Neurospora crassa OR74A: one gene and its partners. Each later gene encodes a partner of the first gene's protein in a complex. Links are inferred from orthologs where the notes say so. Each region holds a gene or a part of one and is shown in the gene's direction. Other genes may lie near its edges.

Region 1 (5,898 bases):
CTCTCCACGTCCACCACCACACTATCCTCAATCCGAACCGCCAGTCCCCGGAAATGCTCGGGAAACCGGTCATCGTCTTGCGGCACATAGACGCCCGGCTCAATCGTCACCGCATGCCCCTGCCTCAGCGTCAAACTCCTCGAGTAACCGGGTGTATCATGCACATCCAACCCCACATAATGGCCCACATGGTGAGGGAACAGCACATCCATCCTGCCTCCTCCCCCTGATGAAAGATCGAAGCCGAGTAAAGTAAGTTGCTCGCGCAGACCGGCTTCAGTGGCGCGGTGGATCTGGTCCAGCGACAAGGTGGCGTTCTCCCGACAGAGAGAAACCATTTTGCGCTGGACGGTCAGGACGGCTTCGTACAGGTCCCGCTGCGGGGCCGAGAACTTGCCGTTGACGGGCCAGGTGCGCGTGATGTCGGTGATGTAGGTGCCGTACTCGCCGCCGGCGTCGACGAGGACCATGTCGTCTTGGTTGAGCAGGCGGTTGTTGTGCACGTAGTGGATCATGTTGCCCCGACTGCCGCCGGCGATGACGGGCACGTAGGCGGGGCCCGAGAGGCCGTGCGAGGTGAAGGCGTAGTTGAGGTAGGCTTCCAAGTCCTTTTCGGACGACCAAGAGCGGCGCATGGCGGAGGTGAGGGCGCGCCCGGAGACGCGGCCGGCGTGGCGCATGTTGGAGATCTCGGCGGGGGATTTGATGGCCCGCAGAGAGTGGACGAGCCCGGCTAGGGGAGCCGGGGGGAGGTGCAGGTGCGAGAGGAGGGTGGTGACGAGTTGGCCGGTGACGGGGGTGGAGGGCGTGATGTCTGTGTAGACCTTGCCGGCGCCGCGCAGGATGGGTGGCAGCAAGGTCTCAACCTTGGCGATGTCCCCCGTAAAATCGGCGTTGAAGACATCCTCGGCTGCTTGCAGCCCGGACCAGGGGCCGGACCATTGCTCGGCGCGCGGGTCTTTGGGCCGGCAGAAGAGGTGGAAGACGTAGTCGCCTGGTTTGGGACCCGTCTTTTGGATGATGGCCAGCGAGTCGGGCTCGGAGAATCCGGTGAGATACAGAAAGTTGGAGTCCTGTCGGAAGGGGAAGAAGACGGCGCCGGAGCGGTATTTGAGTTCCGAGGAGGCGAGAATGGCGATGCCGTTTTCGGGAAGTGCGAAGGCGAGCTTGGAACGTCGCTCGTGATATTCTTGGGCCGTGATGCCGGGGGTTAGTTCACCCGGTTGCAGGATGTGGGGGTGCGTTTCGTAGACGGGCTGGCCGAATTCGAGGTCGGCGGCTGAGACTGTTGTCGTCGTCGTCGTCGTCGTTGCGTATGTCCGGGATGGGCGCCATGGTGTTGATGGTGGTGAGCTTGGGTGAGATGCGGGGAGGATGGACTTGGCAGATTGGAGACGTGGTTGGAGAGGCCAGTTATTCTGAGCGCGCAAGTGTCGAGAACATTGCCGCAGGACGGCTTGGGGAAGCTTCATGTCAAATAAAGGGTGGTTGTCAAAGGGTGATGAGGGGAAGGAATGTGGTGGTTAGGTGAGAACGAGGTGTGAGTTCACCTCGGCTCGCCGGGTTGGTGGCGTAGGTGAACTTGGTTTGGGATGGCTCGCAATGTTGATGATACGTATTTTACTAGGACTACCGGCACCTAAAGTCTAGCTACAAACTGATCATGGGGTTGTCGGAATCTCAACCTTTACCAACCTCCAGATTCCCCAAGCAACAAGGTACGGCGAGAAATGAAGTTGAATTGCTTCGCGACGGACAAGAGGTCGGTTCATAGGTAGGTATGTTTCGTAAAGGTAAAGACATGGGATCTCGTCACTTTATCATTCTCACTTTTGCTCAAATGAATGCTGACAGTTGCCAGGCGCTTCACTGGACTGCCAAGAGTCCAGGTCTCGCTGCCCGGGCATCAAATGCTGCCTGCCAGCTGCAAGCCGCGGATGTGGAGCCGCTGTTGGCATTCCCCAGCACGACCTGACAGCAACAACAAACCACAGCTGCCAGGCGTGGGTGCATTTTCATTGTCAGCGCTTTTCAGTGTAGGGCAGCCAGTGCAAGCATCCCGGGCCGGGCGCCTGCACTCCCCCCCCCCCCCCCCCCACATTGCCTAGAGGTTTGGCCTGCTGGACCCTGCTGTCGCGACTGTCATTATCAAAACCAAACACTTTGATTACACAAAGGTTTTTTGACCACCCACCAACACCAGAACATTGGATCTTGGCCTGTTCGCACCGGGCGTCGACTGACTTCGGGCGCGATTCGACATTGGAAGGTTTGCGCAGATCATCCAATTGGCCTTAGCCGTTTCCTTAGTTTTGTTCAACAACGGTCCCTTCTTCCTTCCCGTCACCGGAGCTCAGCGCGTGCCACTGCGACGACGGAGCCAAAACCTCCAGCGACAAAAATCGAGAGACGCGTTTTTGGAAGAACAGACAACTGTGCCCCAACCTCCACCACCAACCGCCTCACTTTAGTTGTTTTGCGCCCAGGCCAGGGTCGAGTGCTTCCTTGCTCCTTCCCAGCCAACGACCAACGATCGACGACGAATAATTGTCCGACCGCATTGGGCCATTGTTCGACCATCGACACCATCGATCACCGAGCCTAAACCACTTTGTCTTGTCTGTCGAGTCGGCACTCAGCACACGACTTGATTCTTGGTGTACCATAGTTATCCGGGGTCCCCCTACCCAAACTCCAAGCTAGTACCAGCACGCGACCAGACAGACAGCCCGGAAACTGTCTCCCTCCCTTACCATCCCCGAGCCGGCGTTTCGGAACAAACAGAAACAACACCACACCCATAGCATGTTGACTGGATATTTTACAAGACAACAGTATCGCTAGATCGACATCCCACAGCAATGTCGTCAACCACCACCACTGCCGCGGGCACCAAGAGGGCTCCTCTCTCCGACAACCCCAATGCCGCCAACTCGCCGCTGCGTGGGTCCTCGGCTACCGCCTTGGCACTACAGGGCTCTAAAAAGGCCGCCGTCCGCTCCCATGCCGATCAGCTTAGAGAGGAGCCATACGGTCAACCACCGCCGGCCAAGAGACAGATGATTGAACATGGCGGTCAACGCGCCGCCGCCTCGCCGACGAGCTCCCGGTCCAATGTGTCCAATATCACGCGCAAGGCCTCGACCATATCCCGGCCCATTGATCGGGAACGGCCTGAAAGGGCTTCTTCTAGATCAGGCACCACCGTGGCTACCAGCACCACCACCCGTGCCGAGAGGTTGTATGCCGCCTCCACCACCACCACCACCACCTCCACCACCACGACGACCGACCGCATCACCGCAAAGGAACTTGAAGACCTTAGTATATGGCAAACCTCTATGAGATCTCGCTTTCACAAGATGGTCTTCTACTTTGAGAGCATTCCCGACGAGCAACGTCACAAGCTCGCCAAACAAGTCGCTCAATTGGGCGCTGTAAGTCAACGACCCCTTGCCCAATGCAGGCCCAACCGCTCGGCTTATACTTACACTTCGGTCACAGCGCGAGGAAAAGTTCTTTTCCATCGAAATCACCCATGTCGTCACCACCCGTCCTATCCCCCCTGTAAAGCCAGTCCAGGACGAGAACCAGCCCGTTACCAACACGCAATCGACAAGTGAACAGCCAAAGACAATCGATCCCTCTCTCCTGAACCGCAATGGCGACTCGGTCCGACGCAAACTCATTTTCGACAAGCCCTCACTCCGGAAATCCTCTGTGCAGCCCCAGGAAGAGACGATGCCGAAGCCGAAAGCACGCAGCACCGACATCCTGCACCGTGCGCGGGACATGGGCAAGAAGATCTGGTCGCTTGACAAACTCCAGAGGATTCTCGGCATGGTCCTTGAAACGGACTTGTACAAGGCGGCATTGTTGGGCCGAGGCCACACACCAGCAGCCGCGGATAGGGCCAAGGCTCGCCAGCAGACTGCGAATGTACTCCAAATGCTCCAGAATGAGCGTGTTCACGGCCCCTCCGATCGCGATCCCACCGTTGTTACCAAGGACATCCACTACTTCAAGGGCCCCTACATTTATGTGTACGACATTGAGGAGAAGACGAGGCCGATCATGGTGAGGGAGTACCACAGAGTTGCCGACAAGAAGGACGGCGAATGGCCTCAGTTCCGTGTGGCATCCCAGGGCCGTTGCCCATTTGTTGAGGATTATGATCCCCCTGAAAGGACGAGGCGGGAAAAGACTCAGACCAAGGAGAAAGTTGTCAAAGCTGCAGATGCCGCCGCCGCTACCGAGAAGGCTACCAAGACCCTCCAGCCCCCCGAGGTACCATCACCCAAGCCGGTTACGGGAAAGCGTACTCTTAAGGAGATGGAAGCACCCAACGACCGTGCAACCGAAGTTGTTGATGATGCCCCCGAAACCGTCGAGTCAGCCAAGGAGCCCACCCCTTCGGTCGATTTCCGTTCGCAGAATGCCTTTATGAGCCATACCACCAAAGTTGGCCGTTTGGTAGCCGGAGAGCCCGTCGCTTCTGGCATCCAGGCCAACAAGCTCACATCCGCCATTCGCTCTCAGATGGTGTCGTCCACCACCGGTGTCCTTGGCGCCAAGGCCGGTATCAGCAAGGAAGTTTTGGGTCTTCAGCGCAAGGTTCTTCAGAAAGCTGGTGGTCCTTCTCTTTCGCAAGACTCTGGTGTTCGTCGCTTGGCCGAGATTGGTGTGGATGCCGCCCAGTGCACTCGTGCCGCCAGCTTGGGTAATCCGGCCAAACCCCCGATGCCTGGTATCTGGGAGGACGATGAAGCTCGGAAGCAGGAGCAGGCCAAGAAGGAGAGAAAATTGCGCAGGACCGCGAGCACACCCGTCCCCCAGACAAAGCCGAAGCCGCGCGATCCCAAGCCGGGTTACTGCGAAAACTGTCAAGATAAGTTCGAGGACTTTGATGCGGTGAGTTTCCTCAATATCAGGCATACTATGACGCTTACTAACATGACGGTAGCATATTGTTTCCCGCAAGCATCGCCGCTTCGCCGAGAACGACGACAACTGGGCCCAGCTCGACGCTCTCCTTGGCAAGCTCTCGCGCGCTCCCCGCGAGCCGCGTTATCGGTCCGTGGGTGATGAGAGGTGGCAGTAAACTACTGCCATGTTGCCGCACATGAAACCTACCCATGGCTCCTGACGACTAGCTGTACTTGCTTTCCCTTGTTGTTTTCTTCATCTCCCCTTTTGACCTGTTTCTCTTTAGTCAGTCGGGAATCATGTGGCGGTGTCATGTGTCGTTCATTATTGGAGAGGTTTCCTTTTCTTTTCCCTTTTTTCTTCAATTGTCCCAACGCACAAGTTCGTTACCAGCATAATTGGGCGCGGGAGTTCCGGTGGCTTGTCGTTGATGGGGCGTTATTCTGTTTCTTTGTTCATACTAACCGGTTTTTGTTTCATTACTGAAGGAAGCTTGGCATGAAGGCTAAGTGCTCAAGCTGTTCTACTGCTGAGGTCGGTTGGCTTTGTCGTCGTGCGTGGGGTGTTGAGGAAACGGCTAAAGTGGCATTATGTTATGGTCACTTGAGGACCAAGCAAGCGAGCATTATGTGGAAAAACAATCCGGTATGCGTATTCTCATTATGTCAAGGGAATGGCAAAGGGGATACCCGGTTATGGTACGGAAGCCGATGTCTGGTTGGGTCATAGTCATTGTTGGTGTCATGGTTCCTGGCTAGGGCGGCGGTTTATGGTCTGCTCATGAAGAGGAAGAGGTGGACAGCTTGTGATGGCATGCAAAATAGCATGACCGTAGCGCCTTCGAATAAGCTACTATATGTTACACTTTATGTATGTCTCTAAATGTATCATATGGTTATTGGTAGTCAAGAAATTATCATGTTTGATGGTGCCTGTTTCTTTGTCAGGCCGAGCTAAAGTCTCTTCAGCAAG
Region 2 (5,252 bases), on another chromosome or scaffold:
TGGAGTGATGACAGTCAAGGATGAGCAAGACGTCACTCTCACTCGACATGATGGGCTCGCGAATGTCCTCCCAGAAGAAATGACTCGAGCCAATCGCATTCGCAAACATCATCCTTCCTCCAACCATGTCCGCTCCCCCAGCATAGTAAATGACTAGCAACTTCTTCCTCCCCTGGCCCGTATCGGAGTCCGCGAGAAACTTGGCCAGCAGGGTCTCCACAGCCGCAGTAGGATAGTCCTCGGGAATCGGTCGGCATTGGACTCGATATCCGAGCCGTTTGAAGCAGTTTCGAACGGAGTCCGTGGAGGTATTGATCCCTTGCCGACTTGAACTGAGTTTGATTGGCCCTTGTTCCTTGGCGGTTATTGTTGTGGTTGTCGTAGCCCAGCTGAGGATCAAGACGTTGACTTCTTCGGTTAGCTGTGCATGTCGACTGCGCTGAGAGGGCGAGAAGATGGAGCTGAACCTGGTTTTTGGTTCTGGTGGTTCGGTCTCGGGTTCAGGTCGAGCAGTACTGAAAGCTAGTGATGCTGGATAAGCCGAGTAAGTCTCGTATAGCTGCTGAGAGTGTGAGAGGAGTGTTGCATGATCTCTGGACCAGTCTTGTGAGTATCTTCTTTCTGTCCGTGCTTTAGCATCTGTATCAAGCCCCTTAGCAGCCGCAGACGTATAGAGGTTGACGGGGCTCTTCAGCTGTGGTTGCAATGATAAACGGGCTCGCTGTGCTTTCGGAGGCGCGACGGTCCTCGACCAGCTCGAATTTTGCGGTGACGACGCCACAGTCTCAATCTCTATATCCCCATCACCATCGGCATCACGGCGAAGATGATGGTCTCTGAACCACGGAGAATCGGGACTGAGGGCTTCGGTGGCGGTGATAGGGCTTTGACTGTTACGGATGTCCGTTAGCCGTTTTGTCTTGGGATCAGATGTCAGGTTGGCCGAACTTACACCTCAAGCTCCTGCAAAGCACCAATCACCATCTCCATGTCTCCGTCCCACTCGAGTCCAACGGGGAGCGACGTCGCTTGGATGTCATGATGATCAGCGCCCCTGGGCGTAGCTTCACTGTCTCCTCTTCCATCCATGCTCCTTGCCGGCTTCGAAGGCGAAGCGTGTACACGAGCGTTGTCAACAGCTCCAGCCGAGAAGTCATGGCGGAGGTTGGCCAAATGGCGATGCCATAGCTGAGTGAAGTCCGTATTGCTGTTCATCTTGGACTTTTGACTGACTGAATGCGGGCCCAGATACGATCTTCTCTGACACAAAGCTTTGTTTGGCCGAGTCAGCTGATAGTGTCTTTGTTTCGCTTGTCAAGCCATTCTGATGTCAAGAGACTACTGATCTAACATTGCTGTTGTTTGTGGAGTGGTAGAAGAAGCTGAGACGTCAGGAAGGGGGGTGATGGCAAAGATAGATCAGGTTCGCCGCCACGCTGCCCACCTACATGGCGTTTCAGCCCAGAGATCTGATCGGGGGGAGGGGCAGGCGGATACCAGATTGCAGAAGGTCGTCACGTCAAGCAAGGACATGTGTTCTTGGCCGCGGGTTGATGTGGGTGGTCAAGGGCTGGCATGCTCTCGGCTAAAGCCTATCAGCCCAGATGAAATTGTGGTAACACTGCAGCTTGTATGTCTCGGAGATGTTGGAGTTTGGGACCGAACATGACCGGGACCACTTCTGACTGGTTCGACCTCACTATACTCACCTTCTTGTGTTGTACCTTGTCTGACATACATACATAACTCGGATGTTATAGAGAACCACCACGGACTTGACCTGGCAGCTGGCCGGTTTTAATGGCAAGATACCATGGCAAGCTGGTTGATGGATGTCACCGAAGGCTGAGGAAATTGGACGAGGGCGATTGACAGTTCAGTTTGGCTGATGTGGGAGGGAACACTGCATTCGAGGAACCGAGGGAGCGACGACAATTGTGTGGCACTTGATAAAGAGTGCCGACAGCGGGAAGAGGGCATCAGCTCGAGAAAATTGTGCTTCGTCAATACACACAGAATTGTTCAATGGATGGAAGAAGCATCACCCATTTTGCAACGGCTTGTGAGGAAGGAGCATCTTGCTGGAGGATTTCTCAAATCAAAATGAATGAAAATAGTTGGGAGAGAATTGCAAAAGGTCTCATTCGGCACACGAAAGGCCTGGAATCACTAAAAGACATAGTAGGCAACTTCTACCAGGAGGCTGAATCCTTGGTAGGGCAAGTCGGGTCGTCGTACGAACAAGGCAGAGTCGAATGGCGATGCTTCGTTACAGCAAGTGTATTGCTTTCGGCGATACACCCCAGAGGTTGAATTTCTGTGGCCAAGTGCAGGTGGTATGCAGTTATCCAATCTATATCCCACTAGCGAAGCCATTAAAGAGGGCCCCACTTGTGCGCGCCAGCTTCCTGGTCTTGGCGCGCTTCAGCTTTTCTGGCGCGTGTTTTATCGTGTTTTCTTGACAGGGAGGACTCAGTTCCCCTCCCCTCGTCACAGTTTCCCCTCCTTCCACTCACTAACCAGTCAGTCCTTGGTCCCTTGGGTTCTCATATCTCTACTTGAATCTTGACCTCGACAACTTCCAATCTCCACCAACTCTCCTTGATACCCAGGTGGACCACAGCAACACCATAACACAATGGCAACACCAATGGCACACTCCAGCGATGCTGGCTTCATGATGTCGGACGGAATCGCTTCGCGAGGAGGAGCTACTCCCAGGGCGCGAAACGGTCATCCCAGTTCCTCTTCAGCTCGTCCACGAGGCCCCCCCTCAGAAAGCCTCGGAGCGGCCAGCGAAGACGAGGGCGAGGAAGGGTTCGCTGATGATCAGGTCCCCGTCCGCTCGAGGCCTCGGAACATTGCCGACATCCCCAGGGTTCAGGATAGGATTGGTGTCATGGTCCAGAGAGCCTTTGAGGCCTTCATTGACGGGTATGAAGATCCAAGAAACCAGCCAAACATGTACTACTTGGTGTACTTGCTGACACCGGCGCCAGCTACGTCGAAACACCCACCTCGTCCGGCCAACCAACCTCGAGCGCAGTCACGACAGACAAGTACTACGTCGCCCAGATCCACGGCATGAGGACCTACTCGTTATCCACCTTCTACGTCGACTACAAGCACGTCGCCTCATGGCAAGACGGCACCCTCGCCGAGGCCATCACCAACTCGTACTACCGCTTCCTTCCCTTCCTCACAGCCGCCCTCCATAGCCGAATCGCCGCCCACGAACCCCAATACTTTAACGAACATCGCCAGCCCACGGCATCCAGCGCCCACTCCACGACAGCCGCCAGCACACGAGGCGCCAACGCGAGCCAGTCCGACTTTGGCATCAAGAACCCCAACCAACAAACCGACAAGCTCTTTGCCATTGCCTTCTACAACCTGCCCCTCGTCTCGCGCGTGCGCTCCATGCGCGCCCGCAACGTCGGCCAGCTTCTTGCCATTAGCGGCACCGTCACACGCACCTCCGAGGTCCGGCCCGAGCTGGCTCTGGCCACCTTTGTCTGCCAGGCCTGCTACGCCGTCGTTCCCAATGTCGAGCAGACGTTCCGATACACCGAACCGACGCAGTGTCCCAACTTGACGTGCCAGAACCGCACTTCGTGGCAGCTGGACATCAGGCAGAGCACCTTTGTGGACTGGCAAAAGGTGCGCGTGCAGGAAAACAGTAGCGAGATTCCCACAGGAAGCATGCCCAGGACAATGGATGTGATTTTGCGCGGCGAACTGGTGGATCGCGCCAAGGCCGGCGAAAAGTGTATCTTTACGGGTGCGCTGATCGTGGTGCCGGATGTCAGTCAATTGGGTCTGCCGGGTGTGCGGAACGTGTCGGTGCGTGATGATCGGGGTGCGGATGCCGGTGGCAGTGGTGTTTCTGGTCTCAAGGCCCTGGGTGTGCGCGATCTTACCTACCGTTTGGCGTTCCTGGCTTGCATGGTCACGCCTGATGTGTCGGCAATCGGTGCTTCTGGCGATGCCCTTCTGATGGACATTGTTGGTACCCTCAACAGCAGCGCGGCGGCCGAAACAGCCGAGACCATCAAGGAAGCCCAGGAAGCTCTGCTGAGCTCCTACACCTCTGCCGAGATGGAAGACCTCCGTGCCATGGTGCACAGCGACCACATCTACGCACGCCTTGTCCAGTCCTTGGCACCCACAGTCTACGGTCACGAAGTCGTCAAGAAGGGTATCCTCTTGCAGCTTTTGTCTGGTGTCTCCAAAACCACCGCCGAAGGCATGGCACTCCGTGGCGACATCAACATCTGCATCGTCGGCGACCCCTCGACGTCCAAATCCCAATTTCTCAAGTACGTCGTCAACTTTGCTCCCCGGGCAGTCTACACCTCCGGCAAGGCCTCTTCCGCCGCTGGTCTTACGGCTGCCGTGGTCAAGGATGAAGAAACCGGTGAATTCACCATTGAAGCCGGTGCCCTCATGCTCGCTGACAACGGCATCTGCTGCATCGACGAGTTCGACAAGATGGACATTGCCGATCAGGTTGCCATCCACGAAGCCATGGAACAGCAGACCATTTCCATTGCCAAGGCCGGTATTCAGGCCACGCTTAATGCCAGAACCTCGATTCTAGCAGCTGCCAACCCGGTCGGAGGTCGCTACAACCGCAAGACCACCCTGCGCGCCAACATCAACATGTCGGCGCCCATCATGTCGCGTTTCGATCTGTTCTTCGTCATCCTCGACGAGTGCAACGAGCAGGTCGACCGCCACTTGGCCGAACACATTGTCGGCCTGCACCAAAACCGGGACCAAGCCATCGAGCCCGAGTTTTCCACCGAGCAACTGCAGCGGTACATTCGTTTCGCTCGCACTTTCCGCCCCGAGTTCACCGACGAAGCCAAGGAAGTCCTCGTGCAGCGCTACAAGGACCTGCGCGCCGACGACGCCCAGGGCGGCATCGGCAAGAACAGCTACCGAATCACCGTCAGACAGCTGGAGAGTATGATCCGTCTGTCTGAAGCCATTGCCAAGGCCAACTGCGTCGAGGAAATCACGCCCGATTTTGTTAATGAGGCGTTCCACCTTTTGCGGCAGTCGATCATTTCCGTCGAACACGACGACGTCGAAGTAGACGACGAGGAAGACGCTCCCGAACCACCCGCCGACTCCCCCGAGGCCTTGCAAGCCGCCGCCGCCGCTGCTTCGCGCGTGCCCGAGGCCGATATGGACGGAGATGGCGACGTCGACATGGGTGGTGAAGCTGCCCGACAGCCGTCTGCGGC
Region 3 (5,271 bases), on another chromosome or scaffold:
TCCACCCGTTCTAACCTCGTCATCCCCCCTCAACTTTGCAAAATACGCCTTGATATCCTCCGCACTAACCGCCCTCCCACTCTCGGCAAACTCTCTGAAAAACGGCTTCAATTTGTCCTTCAAATGGTTATAAGCCATGACGCCCTCAATGGCTCGCACCCGATCGATATTCCGCAAGGCCGACTCGCCTCTTTCGAGAACCGATCCCGACCCCTTGCTGCTGCTTCCGCCGCCGCCGCCGCCGTGTAGAGAGTGGGAGGGAGAGGAGGAGGAGGTTTCGGAAACGGGGGGTTCGTAGGTGTCTTCTTCTTCGAGGAGGTGGGGGTGCGGGATGAGGAGGGGGAAGCAGTGGGGGCAGTGGCACAGGAGGGAACGGAAGGAGGGGGTGGTGAAGAAGAGGGAGAAGGGGGAGTTTTGGGAGGTTTGGGAAGGTGGTGGGGGGAGGGAGGAGAGGAGGCAGGGTTTGGGGTTGGGATTGGGGTGGGGGGTTGTGGTGGAGGAGTCTGTGGTGGTGAGGGTTGTTGTGTTGGTGGTGGAGGTGATGGTGGAAGAGCCGTTGGTTGTGAGGGACTCGGTTGTAGTGATGGCGGTAGTCGTTGAATGGACGGTTTCATCGGTTTTGGGCTTCTTTTCTTGGGATTCCTCGATGTGTTCGTTGTCCTCGTCAGATGCTTTGCGCTTCTTAGATGAGGAATTGCCGTTGACTTTGAGTTCCGAGGTGGTACTAATGGTTTGCTCCTCCTTCTTCAGATAGACAGGCGGTAGGAATCCTTCAGTACCCGCGTATCTCTTGATCCAGGGGTACGCCTCGACGCACTTATAGCAGATGAATCCCTCAAAGTCGTCATCGGCAGGGAAGCCAGGCGGTGGAGGTGGGTCGTCGTCTTCGTCTTCGTCTTCCTCTGCCTCTTCGGCATGGGCGCCGTTCTGTTCTGTTGTCTCATCTTCCGCAATTGTAGGTAGGGCACCATTTTCGGTCTTAACCTCCGTCTTCAGCGCCGCAGACTTGGGCTTATCCTTCTTGTCCATCTTCTCAAACCAATCCGGACCCAAACCCACGATGCACCCAGGATGGTACCAATCCTCCCCACAACCACCCGTTTCTGCCGTGCCTAGGCCCAGACATTGAAACATGGTCCCCTTCTGCTCAAACGGGTCATAATCGCACTCGCAGCCGCAGAACCGATTCCGGAAGTTATGGTTGTACTTGTTGTTGACATCTGGTTCCTCCGAGTGCACGCCGCCCTTGGTGCCCGTCTCCTCATTGATGCGCAGGTTGCACGGGCTCGTGGGCGGGAAGCGTGTGGTACCGCAGTCGCAGGTGAAGTTGCGCTTGGCAAAGATCTCGACGAGAGTGTGCTCGCCGTGACACTGGACGGAGCAGGAGTAGCAGATGCCGGCCGCATTGTAGGGCGCTTTCGGGTCGGCGGGTGGTGGGTTGCAGGTCAGGCAGGAGAAGACGGCCTGGCGGAGGGGGCCGAGGGGCTTGGTGCAGGTTTCGATGCTCTGGTGGGAGGTTAGGATTGACTTTAAGGAAAAGGGCAGAGAAGACAAGGGACACGCACGTATGGAAGAGCTTCGCGAGCGTCGGCCTCTAGTTGCATTTGGTCGCGGATGAAGCTAGACCATGGTTAGTACTTTGTCATGTGGTAAGTCCAATATATGACAACATACTCTGCGGCAGTCTGAGAGTTTTCTGACTTGGCGGAGAAGCTTTCAGTACGAGTCTTGGTGAGCGCGACTGGTGCTGGAGCTCCATGGCCATCTGGAGTGGCCTCGGCGGGCTGTTGCGCCGGTTGAGGGTCCATGGGTGATGGATGCTTTCACGGTCAATCTTGGATGGTCGGTGGTCTATCAAAATTGTTGATAAGACAAATGCCTCGAGATGGTGCTGGATCACGAAAGATGGGTTCTGTCCGGAAGTCTTTAAAACAAAAAACAATTGCTGGGGCGCGAAGAGGAGGAGGAGGAGGGGGAGGAGGAGGAGGAGGGCGCGTTGGTGGAAGCGTGGGGAGAAGGACCGAGCTTGCAATGTACCCTTGGTTTGGTGTAAGGCACTGTGGTCTATATGTCCAAGCAGCACAGATTGGAATTGGGTTCAAGGAAACCTATTTGAACGTGATCCGATCAATAACATGGCCCTGTAGTATGTAGCACCTTATAGCTCATGCTTTGCTCGTCATTGTTCACTGGACTTTGAGCTTTTGTGACTTTTTGGGAATCTCGACGAGTCGAATTGGCGTGTAAGAGCAGCACCAAGTGGGTCCGGTACGCATTGCCAAGCCCATTAAACCTCAGCAACCACTTAACGCGACCGCCCTTATCCGGCTTAGCGCATCACGTCTGGCGCGTCTTCCCTGGACTGCAACGCGAGAAAAAAGCAGGGACAAGGTCGCCGCAACGAAGGGCAACATTCATTCAGTGGTTCCTCGACGCTGTTTGTCTCCATTCCCCTCCCCCCCCCCCCCCCCTTCTCTCTCTCTGTCTCACCCCGCAACATATCCTCTTTCTGGCTGGCATTCATTCTCCATAGTAACAACTAGGCCAGCATCCTCCACTCTCTTGTTTCTTCCATCTGTAGCTGGCTACAGTCCTCTGAGATACCCTCAGCCAAGTCGCAATCATGAGGTATGTGTGCCTCTTGCTCTTTCGTCTGTCACGGCTTCTCTTCGCAAGTAAACAGTGAATTAACGGAAACTCTCCAATACCAGTTCCCCGCTTCGCGACAACCCGTCCTCTGCCAACCGTGGCGCCGTTCCCAGGGCCACTCGCAAGCGTGCGCGTAACGATCACGATGGTGCTTCCTCGCTTCCCCGCGCTTCGAGCCCTGTCATGCCCTCTTCTCCTCCCGCCTTCCCAGTTGCCCATGGCGCAGATGAGGACGACGACATCGAGGAAGACGTCGCCGCTGAAATCGAAGACGACATTGACGACCTCGACGAGTTGGCCGAAGACGATGTAGATTTGTTCCGCGAAGGCTTCGAGCGCGATTATAGGGAACGAGACGAAAACGACGCCTACGAAGGAATTGACATCGACGATGACGAGTATGAGGCCCTCGACCCCGCCGCAAGGCGCCGTCTTGAAGCCAAGTTGGCCCAGAGAGACCGTCAAGTGAGGATGGGAATGGGCACCACGTATCTTCCTGGTGATGACGACGATGGTGATATCGACCTTACCAACCTGGAACGCCGCCGAAGAATCCGCTACAATGAAGACCCCGATGTCGATATGGATGGCGACATTATGGACTCGGAACTTCCCCTCGAGGCCCTGATGGATGTCAAGGCTGCCACTTTGAGCGAATGGATCTCAGTCCCGGCTGTACAAAAGACCATCCGCAGAGAGTTCAAGGCTTTCCTCACAGAATACACCGACGAGAGCGGTTCGTCCGTCTACGGCAACCGCATCCGTACTCTTGGTGAGATCAACGCCGAGTCTCTCGAGGTCTCCTACGAGCACCTCGCTACAGCCAAGGCCATTCTCGCATACTTCCTCGCCAATGCGCCAACCGAGATGCTCAAGCTCTTCGACGAGGTTGCCATGGAAGTCGTCCTTCTCCATTACCCCGACTACGAGCGCATTCACGCCGAGATCCACGTCCGTATCTTCGACCTTCCTATCCATTATACCCTCCGTCAGCTCCGCCAGTCGCACCTCAACTGTCTTGTGCGCGTGAGCGGTGTCGTCACCCGCCGCACCGGTGTCTTCCCCCAGCTCAAGTATGTCAAGTTCGACTGCACCAAGTGCGGCGTCACTCTCGGTCCCTTCCAGCAAGAGTCCAACGTCGAAGTCAAGATCTCTTACTGCCAGTCCTGCCAGTCTCGTGGCCCCTTCACCCTTAACTCCGAGAAGACCGTCTACCGCAACTACCAAAAGCTCACCCTCCAAGAATCCCCCGGCACCGTTCCCGCCGGTCGTCTGCCCCGTCACCGCGAGGTCATTCTCCTCTGGGACCTGATCGACAAGGCCAAGCCGGGCGAGGAGATCGAAGTAACGGGCATCTACCGCAACAACTACGACGCGCAGCTCAACAACCGCAACGGCTTCCCCGTCTTCGCCACCATCCTCGAAGCCAACAACATTGTCAAATCCCACGACCAGCTCGCCGGCTTCCGCATGACCGAGGAAGACGAGCACGAGATTCGCCGTCTCTCGCGCGACCCGCACATTGTCGACAAGATCATCAACTCCGTCGCCCCTTCCATCTACGGACACACCGACATCAAGACCGCCGTCGCCCTCTCCCTCTTCGGCGGCGTCGCCAAGCAAGTCGGCGCCCACCACATCCGCGGTGACATCAACGTGCTGCTCCTCGGCGACCCCGGTACCGCCAAATCACAAGTACTCAAGTACGCCGAAAAGACGGCCCACCGCGCCGTCTTCGCCACCGGCCAGGGTGCTTCCGCCGTCGGTCTGACGGCTTCCGTCCGGCGCGACCCGCTCACGTCCGAATGGACTCTCGAGGGCGGCGCCCTCGTCCTCGCCGACAAGGGCACCTGCCTGATCGACGAGTTCGACAAGATGAACGACCAGGACCGCACGTCCATCCACGAAGCCATGGAGCAGCAGACCATCTCTATCTCCAAAGCCGGTATCGTCACGACCCTGCAAGCCCGGTGCGGAATCATCGCCGCTGCTAACCCTATTGGCGGGCGGTACAACTCTACCATTCCCTTTTCTGCCAACGTGGAGCTTACCGAGCCGATTCTGTCTCGTTTCGACATCCTTTGCGTCGTGCGCGACACAGTCGAGCCTGAAGAAGATGAGCGGCTGGCGCGCTTCATTGTCGGGTCGCATTCGAGGAGTCATCCGTTGATGAACAACAACACGCAGGACGCTAGCGGTGGTGACTCCATGGAGGTTGAACACGATACCCAAGCTGCTGCGGAAACCCAACAAACTGGTGAACACGGCCGTAAAAAAGAGGGCGAAATCCCACAAGAGCTGTTGAGGAAGTATATCCTTTATGCCCGAGAGCGGTGCCAGCCAAAGTTGTATCACATGGATGAGGATAAGGTGGCGAGGCTGTTTGCGGATATGAGAAGGGAGAGTTTGGCGACGGGGGCTTATCCTATTACTGTAAGTTCTTCCCTCTTTCCTTTTTCCTTTTTTTTTTTTTTTTTTTTTTTTTTTTTTTTTTTTTTTTTTTTTTTTTTCTTTCTTCCTCCGTCACAAAATACAACACAATAACAACTGCTAACCTCACCCACCACCACCTTAGGTCCGTCACTTGGAAGCCATCATCCGCATCTCCGAAGCCTTCTGCCG
Region 4 (4,946 bases), on another chromosome or scaffold:
AGGAGATTAGGGAGTGTAAGGGGTGGGAAGGCGTGGAGAAGGCGTATAAGGATCAGGCAGAGGTCGGAGGAAAGACGGCGCCGAGAGCGCCGGGGATGAAGTATAAGCATTATAGCCCGAAGGCGAGGGTGGTGTTGTATGAGGCGGAGGGAGGGAGGAGGGAGGTACCGAAGGCGGATGTGAGGGAGGCGGTTGAAGCGGCTGGGGAGGAGGAGGGCAAGGGAAACGTGAAGAGTGTTGCGGTTATTAGGACGGGGAGATGGCCTGTTGCCGGGGGGTTGAGGAGTCAGGGGCTTGATGATGTTGCTGCGAAGGACAGCGGGGACGTGGCCGAGACTGGGTTCGCTGTCAGGGAAGGGCAATGGCTGGATGAGGACGGCACCACGGTGTTGGCAAGGCTTCTGGAGATTGATCTGGGCAACGATGTCAAGGGGGTGGCACATGGCCTTTTCGCTGCCCTCCGAGAGCTGGACAGGCGCGGCGCGGATGTAATATTCGTAGAGGGTGTGAGTGATGGAGACGATATCGCGGCGGCGGTCATGAACAGGCTGAGGAAAGCCGCTTCCGACATTAGAATATAGACGGGGTCAAACCCTATAGATCGCAAGGGAAAAGACTATAACTCCTGTTTTCTGCTAACCCATCACTTGTTGGCTTTTCGTGTCTTTTTGCTTCGCCTTTGGCTCATTACTCTGCCATAAAAAGGCTCGCCAAACAAAAGGGCCTGATACCTTTTTACGAACCAATGCGCCAACTTTACCTTGGTTGCTCCCATCCGCCACACTCCTTCCCTTGTCATTACCCACCCGCACATGCCCTTAGAGACCCTGACGAAGCCAGTCAGTAAGCTTAGCCTTGCCTAGTTGTGCCAAGTTGTTGACACCCTGCTCGGTGAAGGGGTCGAGGCGGCTGAGGTTGACATCGGCAGGCGGCGCCTTGCTGCATCGTTGAATGATGATGGTGGGATCGGTCTCGAGAACAACGCCGTCATCCACGATTTCGTCGATAGCGAGGGATACCAGATCGTAGTTTTCGACTATCGTGCGCTTGTCGATCGATTGCCTGAGTAGAAAGTCCGTGGTTAGCCAAATCATGTCCCATGACCGGCACCTTCACGTTCGCCATAAATACTCACTTGAAGAGCATATGCAAGCTGTCCCTAAGCGCCAAAAGTACGTTGTAGAGCAGAACTTCGTTCTCGTCCGCGCTACCAACGACGTAGATAGCAACGTCCGACTCCATCTTGTAAAGCACCACCTTGTTGTCGTAGAGGAGGATATCGCCCGTCTGCTTAGCTGTCTTCTGAAGGAGGCCCTTCTCGAAACGGGTTTGAGAAGTCTTGTCGGGATAGGGGTTCTGGGAAGCGCTCGAGGAAGCTGTTGTGCACAAGGTTCGGGCTGGTCAGCCTTACGGGAACATGCGACACCGAATAAGGGGTAAAAGGAGCGTCTATTGCGTACCGAGTCCGGCGGCCACTCCTGTTCCTGGTGCGCCAGCGGCAGCGTGAGGAGGAGTGTAGTATTTTGAGAATATCCGCGAACCGTCATCGCTGGAGAGGATTACTGTTGGAACGCAATTGTCAACATTGCTCGACGTGGCGCGTATAAGCCAGGACCCAGGAGCAGCGTGGTGCCTAGTGTACCTATAGCGTTGACGCTATACAGCGACATTCCTGGCGACATCTTGACTGGTTATCTGGGGGTTCTTGTTTCTTGATCAATTGCTGTCTCGAGACTGGTATCGGTTGGAGAAGGTCGGCGACGAGGGGCAACTCGACTTCAATGGGCGCAAGTGGGTAGGTATATAGTGGTTAGCTTGAACTCCAGAGGTGCTGCGTAGGTAGGTAGTGCTCACAATGACCAGGGGCAGGCGGTATCGTTGGTTACCGTGGTGAGCGTGGGTATTGTGGGGTGAAGCGGTCCCTGTGATGTGGCTTGAATCCAGAGCGAACACTCCAAGCGAGGCCCCACGGCGCGGTACGTACCTTACGTACCTGACAGTTCGCACTCAAGAGCAGCACTGCAGTGGCCTCGTCCGTCTCATTTGGGTATGACAGGGGTTTTAATGGGTCAACGCGAGTAAGCCCCCGCAGACACGAACGGCCGTGTAAAGTGCTTTTATCAGAGACGCGTGTGTCGCGACTGTCTTTTTTTTCGATAGGAACGTGATCCACCTTGCCCGTCCTGAACACGCTGCCGACCTGCCAACCACCTCGCAATTACAGAGGGATCGGGAGCCGCCACAACAACACTCCAGCGTCTCCATCCCAACCTGCCCGTCTTCTGTCCCTTCTTGTTGGTTTAGTTTCCATACTTTGTATTATCTCAACAAAACCACCGAGGACAGAGTAGTAAACATGTCTTCCCCAGCAAAGCGCAGAACAACGAGAAGCTCCCAATCAGCTACTCCCCGCACTACTCGCAGCTCGCAGGCTGGTCCTTCGAGCGCAACTCCTCGCCAGACACGCGCATCACAGCTTGCCTCTAGTCCCTTATTCTACGAGCCCTCCTCGCCTGCCAATGGCGCCGCCCCGGTATCTTCTCCCTTGAGGCAGATGAGCAATACCCAGAGCACTGCCCACCAAGGCAATGCGCCGAGCTCGCCTTTGCGCCAGCAGACAGAGACCCAGAGCGATGCTGACCGAACTCCTCGCGCAAACGGACGGAGCCAGTTAATTGGGGGTATGGCTGTCAACCAAAAAAAAAAAAAAAAGGACTACACTGAATGCTGACCACACTCCGCAGACTCCTCTCCCATCCGCTATGCCTCCAGTTCTAGCCCGGGCCGTCAGCTTACTCAACAGTCCGATCTTCGTAGCGAAAGCAGTCAGCTCTTCGTCAGCTCGCAAAGGTCCGTTGCCGGTCGATCCCGTCGAGGCGACATCAACGGGGACCCTCTTCGTACTCCCGCCCAGATTCCCCGCCGAATCATCCTCGACGACGCCGGTCGTGTGATCCGCGATGCCCCTGGCTCCGATGCCAACTCGTTTGTCACCAATAACCCCAATACCTCTGAGGCAGATGCCCTTGGTGGACAAAGCCAAGGTCTTGTTTGGGGTACAACAATTTCTCTTGACGATTCGTTCTCCGCGTTCAAGGACTTTCTCAGGAACTTCACCAGGAAATACCGGATGTGGGCAGATGGCGCGGACGAGGCCGAGACTATTGGCCATCCGGATGCGGATTCGAAGCCATATTGGGAGGCACTGGAGAATATGCTGCTGCTTGGTACCAACAAGCTGTATCTGGATCTCCGCGACCTCAAGTCCTACCCGCGCACCTTGAAGTTATGGCATCAGGCCCAACACTATCCTACCGAAATCATCCCGGTCATGGATCAATGCGTACATGACTGTATGATGGAGTTGGCGCAAAAGGAAATGGCCAGCCAAAGAGCATCCCAAAACTCTAGGACCGCTCCAGGTGCCTCACAAAGCTCGGAGCCGAACTTCCCAAGCTCTGAAAGGAGCGAGGAACCGCCCACCCCGCGGCCTGCCCAAACAGCGGCGCCCACAATTGAGGACCAAGTCAGCCAGATGGCGTATGTGGTTCGCCCGTGGGGTCTTGACAAGATCACCAACCTCCGTGACCTCAACCCATCTGACATGGACAAGCTTGTGTCCATCAAGGGTCTTGTCATCAGAACCACGCCGGTCATCCCCGACATGAAGGATGCATTTTTCAAGTGCAGTGTTTGTGGTCATTCTATAACCGTTCAGTTAGATCGTGGCAAGATTCGTGAGCCTACAGAGTGTCCTCGGGCTCGCTGCGCCTCCAAGAACTCAATGCAGATCATCCACAACAGATGTGCTTTCGAAGACAAGCAAGTCATCAAGCTGCAAGAAACTCCGGATAACGTGCCTGCTGGTCAGACACCCCACTCGGTATCCGTTTGCGTCTATAACGAGCTTGTGGACTTTTGCAAGGCCGGTGACAGAGTTGAGCTCACTGGTATCTTTAAAGTCACCCCCGTTCGTGTCAACCCGCGCATGAGGACGGTCAAGAGCGTGCACAAGACATATGTTGATGTTGTCCATGTACAAAAGGTCGACCGCAAGAGGATGGGTTCTGATCCCTCGACCCTCGACCTTGCCGAGGAGGAGGAAGCCCATGCTAATGGCCAGAGCATGGACGAAGTCCGAAAGGTCTCTCCTGATGAGGAAGAGAGGATCAAGGAAACTGCCGCTCGACCGGATATCTACGATCTCCTTTCACGTTCTTTGGCTCCATCAATTTACGAGATGGATGATGTGAAGAAGGGTATTCTTCTTCAACTGTTCGGAGGCACGAACAAGACCTTTGAGAAGGGTGGAAGCCCCAAATACCGTGGAGACATCAACGTTCTCCTCTGTGGTGACCCATCCACTTCCAAGTCCCAGCTTCTCTCCTATGTTCACAGAATCGCCCCAAGAGGTGTGTACACGAGTGGTAAAGGTTCTTCTGCCGTAGGTCTTACCGCCTATGTTACCCGCGATCCCGAGTCCCGCCAACTCGTTCTAGAGTCCGGTGCTCTCGTCTTATCCGACGGCGGTGTCTGTTGTATCGACGAGTTCGACAAGATGAACGAATCGACCCGCTCCGTTCTTCACGAAGTCATGGAACAACAGACCGTGTCCGTCGCCAAGGCCGGCATCATCACCACTCTCAATGCCCGAACATCAATCCTGGCGTCTGCCAACCCCATTGGTAGTAGATACAACCCTGATCTATCAGTGCCGCAAAATATTGACCTCCCGCCAACCCTTCTATCCCGTTTCGATCTGGTCTACCTCATCCTCGATCGTGTTGATGAGAAGAATGATCAGCGTCTGGCCCGCCATTTGCTCTCCATGTATCTCGAAGACAAGCCCGAGAGTGCCCAGCAGGCCAACGACGTCCTTGTGAGTTTTTCCCCGTCTGTCAATCCACACGAAGATGAACCCCAAACTAACCAACTCCCCCTCAAAA

The links.
Region 2: the proteins of NCU05972 (region 1) and NCU05194 are in contact, whole or in part, in a cryo-EM structure (PDB 7PT6), measured with the Saccharomyces cerevisiae proteins. The link is inferred for Neurospora crassa OR74A from reciprocal best matches to the Saccharomyces cerevisiae genes DBF4 and MCM6. Residues at the interface, in NP_010337.3 of Saccharomyces cerevisiae: Ala231, Pro232, Leu234, Ser235, Leu237, Leu238, Glu241, Pro246, Thr247, Asp248, Arg249, Asp250; in NP_011314.2 of Saccharomyces cerevisiae: Val103, Asp104, Asp105, Val106, Thr107, Lys110, Val111, Ala114, Glu162, Asn163, Ala165, Leu166, Met168, Ala169, Gln173, Arg176.
Region 3: the proteins of NCU05972 (region 1) and NCU04327 are in contact, whole or in part, in a cryo-EM structure (PDB 7PT6), measured with the Saccharomyces cerevisiae proteins. The link is inferred for Neurospora crassa OR74A from reciprocal best matches to the Saccharomyces cerevisiae genes DBF4 and MCM2. Residues at the interface, in NP_010337.3 of Saccharomyces cerevisiae: Tyr127, Ile130, Thr131, Asp132, Asp133, Glu135, Met136, Asn137, Thr138, Lys141, Gln164, Phe165, Phe166, Asp167, Thr168, Thr188, Ile190, Arg193; in NP_009530.1 of Saccharomyces cerevisiae: Glu179, Glu180, Leu181, Thr182, Ser185, Arg205, Arg209, Glu210, Ser213, Leu216, Glu217, Tyr218, Thr219, Gly223, Ser225, Gly228, Ile231, Glu251, Ser252, Ala278, His282.
Region 4: the proteins of NCU05972 (region 1) and NCU02539 are in contact, whole or in part, in a cryo-EM structure (PDB 7PT6), measured with the Saccharomyces cerevisiae proteins. The link is inferred for Neurospora crassa OR74A from reciprocal best matches to the Saccharomyces cerevisiae genes DBF4 and MCM4. Residues at the interface, in NP_010337.3 of Saccharomyces cerevisiae: Asp248, Arg249, Asp250, Thr253, Lys254, Arg255, Asp256, Pro514, Thr515, Arg516, Ala517, Ser518, Val519, Met520, Ser521, Lys522, Asn523, Met524, Leu527, Arg529, Leu530, Met531, Val532, Asp533, Arg534, Leu536, Gly537, Val538, Tyr660, Cys664; in NP_015344.1 of Saccharomyces cerevisiae: Leu177, Arg178, Ile179, Ile180, Trp181, Asn184, Ser186, Ile187, Gln188, Thr192, Arg195, Asn196, Met199, Ser200, Lys202, Lys204, Phe205, Glu222, Leu224, Glu267, Ser270, Ile271, Gln274, Lys277, Asp278, Val281, Ser282, Val285, Asp286, Glu297.

The regions. Positions count from the first base shown.
Region 1 is NC_026506.1:3,249,989-3,255,886, reverse strand, and holds NCU05972 (sporulation-specific protein 6), read left to right. Parts: upstream 1-2,161; 5' UTR 2,162-2,861; coding exon 2,862-3,437; intron 3,438-3,504; coding exon 3,505-4,911; intron 4,912-4,963; coding exon 4,964-5,101; 3' UTR 5,102-5,879; downstream 5,880-5,898. Other genes in the region: NCU05971 (xaa-Pro dipeptidase), read right to left, coding at 1-1,472. UniProt on the Saccharomyces cerevisiae protein: Regulatory subunit of the CDC7-DBF4 kinase, also called DBF4-dependent kinase (DDK), which is involved in cell cycle regulation of premitotic and premeiotic chromosome replication and in chromosome segregation.
Region 2 is NC_026504.1:5,796,997-5,802,248, reverse strand, and holds the start of NCU05194 (DNA replication licensing factor mcm6), read left to right. Parts: upstream 1-2,452; 5' UTR 2,453-2,638; coding exon 2,639-2,934; intron 2,935-2,999; coding exon 3,000-5,252. Other genes in the region: NCU05193 (hypothetical protein), read right to left, coding at 1-890, 953-1,215. UniProt on the Saccharomyces cerevisiae protein: Acts as a component of the MCM2-7 complex (MCM complex) which is the putative replicative helicase essential for 'once per cell cycle' DNA replication initiation and elongation in eukaryotic cells.
Region 3 is NC_026505.1:5,630,912-5,636,182, reverse strand, and holds the start of NCU04327 (DNA replication licensing factor mcm2), read left to right. Parts: upstream 1-2,471; 5' UTR 2,472-2,623; coding exon 2,624-2,628; intron 2,629-2,711; coding exon 2,712-5,082; intron 5,083-5,224; coding exon 5,225-5,271. Other genes in the region: NCU04328 (metaphase-anaphase transition protein), read right to left, coding at 1-1,506, 1,566-1,620, 1,675-1,808. UniProt on the Saccharomyces cerevisiae protein: Acts as a component of the MCM2-7 complex (MCM complex) which is the putative replicative helicase essential for 'once per cell cycle' DNA replication initiation and elongation in eukaryotic cells.
Region 4 is NC_026501.1:2,663,366-2,668,311, forward strand, and holds the start of NCU02539 (cell division control protein 54), read left to right. Parts: upstream 1-2,146; 5' UTR 2,147-2,356; coding exon 2,357-2,681; intron 2,682-2,744; coding exon 2,745-4,879; intron 4,880-4,946. Other genes in the region: NCU11234 (translation initiation protein Sua5), read left to right, coding at 1-581; NCU02538 (coatomer zeta subunit), read right to left, coding at 819-1,062, 1,136-1,376, 1,461-1,562, 1,643-1,682. UniProt on the Saccharomyces cerevisiae protein: Acts as a component of the MCM2-7 complex (MCM complex) which is the putative replicative helicase essential for 'once per cell cycle' DNA replication initiation and elongation in eukaryotic cells.